Linked DNA regions of Sus scrofa. The protein of the gene in region 2 purifies or fractionates together with the protein of the main gene of each other region. This does not show direct contact. Links are inferred from orthologs where the notes say so. Each region holds a gene or a part of one and is shown on either strand. Other genes may lie near its edges.

Region 1 (4,739 bases), on a different chromosome or scaffold from region 2:
GCAGCTCGGATTCAACCCCTAGCCTGGGAACCTCCATATGCCGTGGGAGCGGCCCAGGAAATAGCAACAACAACAACAACAAAAAGACAAAAGACAAAAAAAAAAAAGAAATACTGAGCTACAAGACGAAATAGAACTTTTCATCCCTCATTTATAGAAGTTCGGTTGCCAACAATACTTCAGAGATGCTGAGTTCAGTTCCAGAACACCACGATAAAGTAAATATCACAAAAGTGAATATCACGATAAAGCAAGTTATGTGAGTTTTTTCGGCTTCCAGTGCATATAAGTTATATTTACACTATACTGCAGTCTAGTAAGTGTGCAGCAGCATTATGTCCACCATATACACAGCTTAATTAAAAATTACTTTATGGAATTTCTGCTGTGGCACAGTGGGTTAAGAATCTGACTGTAGCAGCTTGGGTCGCCGCAAAGGTAAGGGTTCGATCCCCAGCCTGGGAACTACCATTGCCACGGCCGCAGCCATTAAAGAAAAAAAAAAAAAAGAAGGTACTAAAAAATTCTAATCTTCATCTGAGCTTTCAACAAGTTACAATCTTTTTGCCGTTATGACATCAAAGATCACTGATCACAGATGAACATACCAAATGAGATAAAAATGAAAAGGTTTGAAATATTGCAAGAATTACCAAACTGTGACACAGAGACATGAAATGAATAAGTGCTGATGGAAAAAAATGGCGTCAACAGACTTATTCAACACAGGGTTGTCACAAGTTTGTAAAAAACACAATATCTGTTAAGTACAATAAAGAAGCACAATCAAACTAGGTAGGCCTGTAGTACAACTTGCTTGGAACTAATGGGTGGCAGTCTGAGTTTGGGCTGGGTGAGCAGGGGGTAAAGGGCTTGAGACAACCATGTCTGGTACACCAACCTGCTTTTTGCTGCAGCCAGACTGGACCAAGATGGCAAAGTCCCCCACTTCATGGGGCACTTCATGTAGCAGCACAGTCATCGTGGTCAGGATCCCGAGCCCCCGACCTCCTCGAAATGAAGCACCAATAGCTAGACCATCCGTGAAGTTGTGTGCCAGGTCAGCAGCCAGATTCAGATACCCTGACACACGCAAGTCTTGTACAGGAGAAAAGAAAGATGAAACAATCAGAGGCACTCCTCAACCCTAGTCCGAACCCTAGTCAGCCATTATCACATCTCCCCCAAGAGACCACTTCATGCCCAGCCCCAGTGTTTCCAGACACCTGCCATTACCCACAGCCCTTTTCCATGTAACTCGTGATGATGCCCCTTGTCCAAGTGTATGCAACCCTGGCCCTCACCTGACCCTGCTTTTTCCTCTCCAGAATGCTGAGGTCTCACTGGCCCATCTTTGGGCCTTGTGCTCCCTCCTCTTCTCTTCCTCGATGCCCCTGCTTCCTTTTCTTCTTCCTCTGAGCTCTGCTTTTCCTTTGAAGGACACTCTGAGGGGAAAAGAGGAGCTGGTAAGAGTGGGGAATGGAGACCTACCAATATGTCCTCAAAAGGGGAGTCCCCTCCCACCCAGGAGCCATAAAATGAGCAGATTCAGAGGTAGGCAAGACGGTTTTCATTAAAGTATTTCCTAGGCTCACCCTGTCTTCCATGTCCATGACCTCCATGCGTGTGACCGTGAGCATGTCCATGTCCGTGACTGTGTTCATGTCCTCCTTTCACGTGTCTCACAAATTTCTCCACCACAAGAAAGGCGACAATTCCACTGAGGACCCACAGTCCCACAGACAGAATGGGGCCCTGGCCTGGGGATGGACACATTGAGACATTAAGAGAAATATAGATTCCAGACTCTTCCTCCCCAAGTAGAGGAGAACAGGGAGGGACAGACCTTCCCTAGCACCCCAAACCATTATCTCCATCCTCCCCTTCCTTACCACTGTGGGAATGTCCGTGTCCGGGCTGCTCCAGAGGGTGGTGAGAATGGGGTTCTGGAAGAAGTGGGGGAAAAGGTTAGATAAGGGAATATCCCACACAAAAGGTGTGTATTGGGGGGACACTAGAAGGTCAGGGATCACAAAGAGGAAAGAACCCTCTCATTCAAAGAATAAAACACTCTAAGATTTGAGGTCACTTACCCAGAGCATGAGGAATGAGGTGCAGGAAGGCATCTCCCAAGAGCCCACCCGAAGCAAAACTCAGCAGGATCTGGAGCAGAGAGCGGTGCCGAGGTGAGTTGGACTCCACCGGGATAAGGAAGAGGACGAAAAATGGAGCTGCAGAGATGAGCACTGTGGCCCCTAGTGCCTAGTGAGGGAAAGTCAGGGGTCAAGAGGTGTGGGACTTCCCAACAATCCAGAACTCGCCCCCCTCTGCCCCATCCCGGGGGACTCACATAGGCCCAGAGAGTGACAGTGTCCAAGTCCTGCTTGATGCCTGGAGCCCCAGATTCCCCATAGCCTCCATGGCTGTGCTCATGGTCATGTCCGTGTCCTGGGTGGTAGAGGCTCTCATGGGAGTCGCCATGAATATGGCCATGGTGCAAATCCTCATGTGAATGTCCATGATCGTGACCGTGGGTATGCCCATGCCAGATGCTCTCATGAGTATGGCCATGGCCATGGGCATGGCTGTGTCCATGGTGGAAATCCTCATGTGAATGCCTGTGGCTGTGGCCATGCAAGTCCTCCTGCAGGTCTTCGTACAGGTCGCCATGACCCCCGTGTCCGGCCACTAGCAGCCCCAAGGCTGCCCACGTCAGCAGTCCCACGGCCACCCTGTGGGGGGCCCCCAGGCCTCTGGCCATCACGCTGACCAGAGGGACACAGACAATGACTCCACTTGACCCTCAACTGTATACCTATACAGGGTCCGCTTTACTCCGATAGCGCCCTCTGTCCACGTCTATGGACCGCTTCCCCGTCCCATTCTGTCCCCACCCACATTGTCCCCAAGATTCGTTTTCTTTATCCCGAACCCCTTCCCGGATGTAGGGCCCCCGGGATACCGCTCTAGGCTTTGATCCTCCACTCTTGGACTCTCTGGGCCCTCGTCTCTATGGCCCACTAGTTGAGAAAAAAGGCTTGGAAAGGACAGCAGAGAAAAGCGGGCTATTCTCACCGGCTCCGGGATCCTCTCCTTTCCCGGTTTGCTCGGACGTGGCAGTCCCACCTCCAGCTCCCGCGAGAACAGGGAATTCGGTTCTACCTTGGTCCCAATACTTTACCAATATGGCCGCATCCCGGTAGCTATGAAGCGCGCCTGTCCTGGCGCGCACGCGCGAGTGTGGAGGTTATTTGAGGGGATGCTGGGCGAGGCCGCTTAACAGGCTGGAGGAGACCGCCTCCTCGGTTTCCAACTAGACGAGGGGGCGGGAACTAGCGCGGAGACTTCCCGTCTATACCAAGATGGCTGCCACATCGGCGCTGTCATTTGGGTACAGAGCAGAGCGAAGCGCTTAATTTGACTCGGTTCAGGCCAAAGTCTTTTTCTCTGGGGCTTCCTCGTGCTAGCCGAATTCCCCGATCAGTTCTTGAGAATCCCTGGTACCCTCTCGGCATCCCTACACTCAGCCAGGAATCATGTCTTGGGCGGCTCGCCCGCCCTTCCTCCCCCAGCGGCATGCCGCAGGGCAGTGTGGGCCGGTGGGGGTGCGAAAAGAAATGCATTGTGGGGTCGCGTCCCGGTGGCGGCGGCGGCGGCCCTGGCTGGATCCCGCAGCGGCGGCGGCGGCAGCGGCAGCCGGAGAACAACAAACCCCGGAGCCGGAGCCGGGGCAGGCTGGACGGGACGGGATGGGCGACAGCGGGCGGGGTGAGTGTCCTAACAGACGGACAGGCAAGGCAGTGACCGCGTTATCAGCAGCCCCTACCCCCCCTCCCCTGATGCTCTTTCCCAGGCGCTCCCGCCCCCTTGTTTGTAAACACGCGTCCCCTCCCTCCCGAGGGCCTTAGCGCCCTCCCCCCGGGGCGGGGCGGGGAAGGGGAGCTTCCGCCGTCCGAGGGGTGGCCGGCCGCTTGAGGCCTTACACTCCTGAGATCCCAGGAGTGGGACAGTAGACCTTGAGCTTGAGGATTCTGGACGTTTGAAGGCAGATTCTGCGTCCTAGGAGGGGTCTCTTCCGCCTGTCTCTTTTCCCTGCTTGGTTTGGCTCCAAACTGGGAATGGAGGTGCTGACTGGTCCACACCACGTGCTGCCCCACCCACACGAGATGCCCCAGGCCTGGGGTGACCAAATGCATTGCTTGGAACGTGCCTCACCTGAACTGTCCTCTTCTTTGGCAACCCCTTCCTCTCACCACAGTTAGGAGTTAAGCCGTTGTTTGACAGCAGGGTACCTCTGAACTTAGGAAGGGGTGGGTGGGGTGGGGTGGGGTGGGGGTGCGGTGGGGGATCAGAGAAAGAATTAAAAGTCTCCGGTTGGATGATCGAAGACTCATTTTCTCTTTTTGTCTCTCCTGTCTGTGTCTGCCTGTGTGTACCCCTCCCCAGACTCCCGAAGCCCAGACAGTTCCTCCCCAAATCCCCTTCCCCAGGGGGCCGCTCCCCCTTCTCCTCCTGGGCCACCCCTACCACCTTCAGCAGCTGCATCCCTTGGAGGCTCTGGGGCCCCACCCCCACCCCCGATGCCACCCCCCCCACTGGGCTCCCCCTTTCCAGTCATCAGCTCTTCCATGGGGTCCCCTGGTCTGCCCCCTCCAGCTCCCCCAGGATTCTCCGGGCCTGTCAGCAGTCCCCAGGTGAGAGGTTGTGACCCACTTCCTGCCTCTCCACTTTCATTTCCT
Region 2 (5,006 bases):
TTTGCTTTTACCTTATTTATAATCTTATATAAATGTTTATTGCCATTGATTTTCTATCTTCATTTCTATAAAGCTTGGAAGGGTATAGTCTTTTCAGTCTCATTCTGTTGGTAACTCACTAACATGGTGTGTTAACAGCCAAATTCTGAACCAATGGGTGAGAAAAACTGGACTCTAACTAGCATCTAATACATTCATTCAGTCCAAGTCCTAAATTCAGTTGGCCACCTGATGTCCAAAGCTTGATTGATGCTAACAATGTGTGGGCAGTGTTTAGAAATTAGACTTTTTGCTTGCTGATTTTAGGATGAAAATCATTCATTTTGGTGAATGCCCACTTTGACACCCCCCCTTCCAAAATATGTGTGATGGCACACCAGAATCATTTATTTGTTCCAAGAGGGAAGAATGGACTAAAATCATTTCATTAAATGACATGAGAAAACACCAAGAATATCTCACTTGTAAAATGCTTGAACTCCATGAAACATCCATATTGTTTTGTTTTACTCTAATTCAGTTATAACAAATATGTAACTAGAAATAACTTGGGAAATATTCCAAACAGCAATTAGATCACCTCTGTAGAAACTGGAAAATATATAGAAGGAACCAAGTAGGCTTTCTAAGATTAATATATAGTCTTTATGAGAAAAGACTCATTGTCCGTCTTATTCTCTACTATATTCCCAGTATAGAACAATGTACAAAATATGGTAGATGTTGAGAACTATGTCTAGATACTCATGTTGCAACAGAAGAAAGGGTGGGGGAAAAACTGTAATTGTAATGTATACATGTAAGGATAACCTGACCCCCTTGCTGTACAGTGGGAAAAAAAAAAATATGGTAGATACTGGTGTTTTTTCTTTTTTGATAGTAATAGCAAAACTCAACATGAGGTGGTTTCTTAAAAGTTAGTCGCACTGTGGAATTTGAAACTACATCAATGAATTTGAACCTATAAACCTATAAGAGAATATATTACTTTGAAAATAATTCTTACAGATCCCAGGAAGAGGGCTCAGAGAGCCCTCATACCCTCCAGGGTTCCCTGGACCACATGTCAAGAACCACTGGTTTACATAGTACTTTTAAAATTAGTTATTTAAGCCAAGGGATGTTGGTTTTCCTTTCACAAGATAATAAATAGATGTTTAAAATGAAACTTTCAATTTAAATCTATTTTAAAATATATATGAAATAGTACAGGTAGGCAATCATATTAAAAAATGTGAATTATTTTCTAAAACAATAAACCTCTGCATTCCTGTAAACCTACACTCTATAAAGGAGGAAACTAGACAATGTTTCCTCAGCTCTTCTCTTGGTTGGGTCTTCTAACACTGAGGTCTTGACTTCGCATGTCAACCCTTCAAAAAGGTGGTCCCCAATTAACCTAAAGAGGCTTTATAATAGATTTTCCAAATCAGTCTTATTACATAGAATATTTTAAAATGATTGGTGCCATAATATAACTTCACTTCAGTAACAATGGAATGTGTCAAGTAGAGCTGCTTATAACAATAACAATATCACTAATAGGAATTTTTAATTCCTTTTCTACTTGATAAGGCATTAAGGGGAGTAGAAAAATAAGTGACAGTCATCTACATTTATTCATAACCTGGTACAACATAATAACCTGGTTTACTTAATCAAAAGGTTGATCATAGGTTAAGATATAGAAACTGTGCTAATGGAAAAAAAAAATTCAAACAAAGCAAACAGTGGATTGTACAATCACAGAAGATTATTAGATCCCTCAGGACACCAGTTAAATCACTTTACCCTTCTGGGTCAGTTTCATCATATGTAAAGTGAAAGATGTCATTAAGTGTCCATATCTGTATGGAATCTGAAATTCAGATAATTCTACAATCTAACATTCTGTAGTAGGAATAGGCTCAAAAATACTCATTTTGAAAATTAAACTTCTGAATGATTTGGGATTGCTATTTATAGATGACTTCATTTTAGAAAGGTTTTTTTGTGTGTGAAATATCAAATTTACTAATTTGATTTACTAATTCAAATTTTTGTAAATTTAAAATCAGATATACTTAGTTTTGTTAGGATATTAAGCATACGTTCCAATATTAAAACTAGATCATATTTATGACATTTTTTTCCCCTTTGATGCATAGGTAACAGTTTTCCATCTTATCATGCAACTAGTAACACTTCGCTTTGGATTACTTTGTGGCATGCAAAATGAATACCTAGATGTTTCTAATAGTGACTATGACAAAGTCATATCAGTGACTATTAGTCACTATTAGTGACTGTCATACCAAATTTTCACTTTCCCAGATCAAAAAAGGTGGAATGTATAAAACTTCATATGGTACAAGAAAATTATTAAGGTGACGGATTAAAAGCCAACACTAAGAAACTGCTGCTAAAAGAACTTTTCTTCTTTTACATTTTATAAAATACTATAATAAGATCATTCCGTATTACCATTCAGTTACTCATATAAATATTGATTTAGAAATTGGGTACTAATTTATAATTTATAAATGAAAGAGAGAAACACTTGGTGGTCTAAATTCTCCCAAAGGTACCACAGGTTTTTAAGACAGTTATCACAGGTCTGCACCCATGATACTGGGGGCGGGGAGAGGGCAATGCCAGGTCACTCACTGGGCCTGCAAAGGAGGCTCATCGAGGCTTCGCCTCACCTGACCGTCCTGACGACGAAGTACACCAGCACCGCACCACTCACCACCATCAACACGGTCAGGGCCCGCTGGGTCATGGGCTTGTCGCTGGGGTTAGGGCTCACAGCAAGGACGCCACCCACTGAGCCTTCTTCCCCCGCCTTCCCGCCTGGGTCGGCAGCAAGCTCCGCCCCAGGAAAGCTGCCATTGCCGCCCTCTGCGCCCCGTGGTCCTGTGGCTTCGGCCTGAGCGCGGCCTGGGGACTGGGGAGCTGTGGGGCCAGGTGGCAGAGGTTGCAGGGTCCTCGGCCCACGGTCTGGAGGCCCGGGATCCTGCGCGGCCTCAGCCGCCTGCAGCAGCACCGCCAAAGGCCCTCTCAACTCTGGCAGTAGTAGCAACAGCAGGAGGGCGGAGGCGAGGAGGTGGCTGAGGCAGCAGCGATAGTGCGTTGCCTTCATCGTCCCCGGACGGCCCTCTCACCACGTGGGAGCTTCGGGGCCCACCGCCCTGGCTCCAGGTGGGACCATGGGAGCAGCGAAGAACGAAGAAAGGGTGACCAAATCCCGGGCTAAGGCCCGCCGCAGCAGGTGGCACAGGCGGCAGCTGCTGCAGCTGCCGGGAGAACCGGAAGTTCGTACATCTCAGCAGCCCTGCTACTAGGGACGCTTTCGGTTGCTAACATGCCAGGGACGGCGCCTTTAGTGACGTCAGGCGCGCAAGGCCACTAGCGCAGGCACCCTGCCTGCGGGCCAGGGGAAACCCTCTGTGGTTGGTTCCCTAGTAACAAAGTAAACAAAAGAGAGTAGTGTAAAATGTGCAGCAACACTTTGCATGAAAATACTTTAAGAGATTGGAAGCTCCTAATTTGAGTTCGTTTGTGCAAAACTGCAGATATGCAGCTTATTGTTTATTAAGACCGCTTTGACGTTTCCCTCAGCTCAGGTACAAATTTTATACGGCTTTCTTCCTTAGAGCATTGATGTTAGAAAACTTGTAACTGTGCATTTATTTTCTGTGTTTTTGAAATATAAATCTTTAAAACGGTATTGGTGGTGTTAATATCCAGGGCTCTTTATTAAAGAATTAGGAGCCATCCTTTTGAAATGTCAACAAAGATAGCACTAGCTCCCAGTCTCTGTGGAAGGGTAGGAGCCTAATTTAGGGGGGCACCTTGTTCAGAGTTGTAGAACTATCTCCTGTCAGGAAGCTGAAAGAAAAATTTACTTTTCTCTTGGGTAATTTCATTTAGTAATCATAATTGGCCTGAGGTGCTCCCTGTTCTTAAATCTCTTAAGTTTTTTGTTACTTTTTGGTGAGTTGAGATCAGAGTCCTGGCCTCTCTCCTCTGTTGCAATAATGTTGAATAAAGTTTTCTTTGCCTGTTTAACGTTGACATCAGTGACGTGGAACTTTGATTTGAGCAGATGCAAACATACAAACAAAACACCAGACCAGAAGTTGAAGTTAGTATTTGTTTTTTAAAAAAATTATTCATTTAGCATTGTTCAGATATTTCACTCCTTGCTTAGCACTGTGTCTGAGTACTGAATAGTAGAGGAGTAGGACATGGTCCTTGCTCTTATAGCACTTAGGTTCAAATGGAGATAACACAATGAACAGTTGCATTCATTCTGAATTTGGAAGTGTGTCGTAAATAACAGGTATAGAATCTACAATAAAATTTTTCTAAAGGATTTTTGTAGATAAGGTGGACAGGATAGTGTCTTCTGCCTGCTTCAGGGTGACAGAGTAATGCAGTTGCTTCTGCAGTGTAGAATTACAAGGCCTCGGTGTCTTAATGCTGGGTTCTAGTGTGAGGAAATCCATTGGTGACACACCCCAATTTTAGCTTCCTACCTGGGCATTTTCAGTAATGAGGTGGCTCCTTGGGTTTCCTGTCTCCTTTATTAACAACCTTATTCAAAGCCATACATGGAATAGGGTTAGTATGTAATGCCACTTCCTTCTACTTCTCAAAAAAGTCCAGTAATTAACTCATTGAAAGCCAAAAAAAAAAAAAAAAAAAAAAGTGCATCATCTTTCCTTTCTTACAATTTCTCATTTTACTGTTGTGTTCCTCATCTTGATTAATGGCATTATTCTTCATTCAGGTGTTAAGGCATAAAATCTTGGAGTCATCCTTTACCTTTGCTTCCCACCTGCAACAATCCTTGTCAGTAACTGAGCCATGCAAAGCGCCAAATAATTCTGAAGTAGCAAAATCAAACTAATGGTTCCAAATTAATTAGAACATATCATGTTCTAGTTTTTCTCCAAATGTGACTCTTAGCTATTCAGAATCAGAAATGTGATTTGTTAAAAATGCAGATTGTAGGTCACTAT

The links. The genes of interacting proteins can lie anywhere in the genome.
Region 1: the proteins of FAM174A (region 2) and SLC39A7 purify together in Homo sapiens (co-immunoprecipitation; 3 studies listed by BioGRID and IntAct, with this or other methods). This does not show direct contact. The link is inferred for Sus scrofa from reciprocal best matches to the Homo sapiens genes FAM174A and SLC39A7.

Annotation. Positions count from the first base shown.
Region 1 is NC_010449.5:25,241,452-25,246,190, reverse strand, and holds the start of SLC39A7 (zinc transporter SLC39A7), read right to left. Parts: upstream 3,330-4,739; 5' UTR 3,076-3,329; exon of another isoform or gene 2,766-3,075; 5' UTR 2,762-2,765; coding exon 2,351-2,761; intron 2,263-2,350; coding exon 2,094-2,262; intron 1,947-2,093; coding exon 1,893-1,946; intron 1,761-1,892; coding exon 1,596-1,760; intron 1,446-1,595; coding exon 1,305-1,445; intron 1,099-1,304; coding exon 902-1,098; intron 1-901. Other genes in the region: RXRB (retinoic acid receptor RXR-beta), read left to right, coding at 3,537-3,768, 4,447-4,694. UniProt on the Homo sapiens protein: Transports Zn(2+) from the endoplasmic reticulum (ER)/Golgi apparatus to the cytosol, playing an essential role in the regulation of cytosolic zinc levels.
Region 2 is NC_010444.4:106,553,603-106,558,608, reverse strand, and holds the start of FAM174A (membrane protein FAM174A), read right to left. Parts: upstream 3,368-5,006; 5' UTR 3,122-3,367; coding exon 2,685-3,121; intron 1-2,684.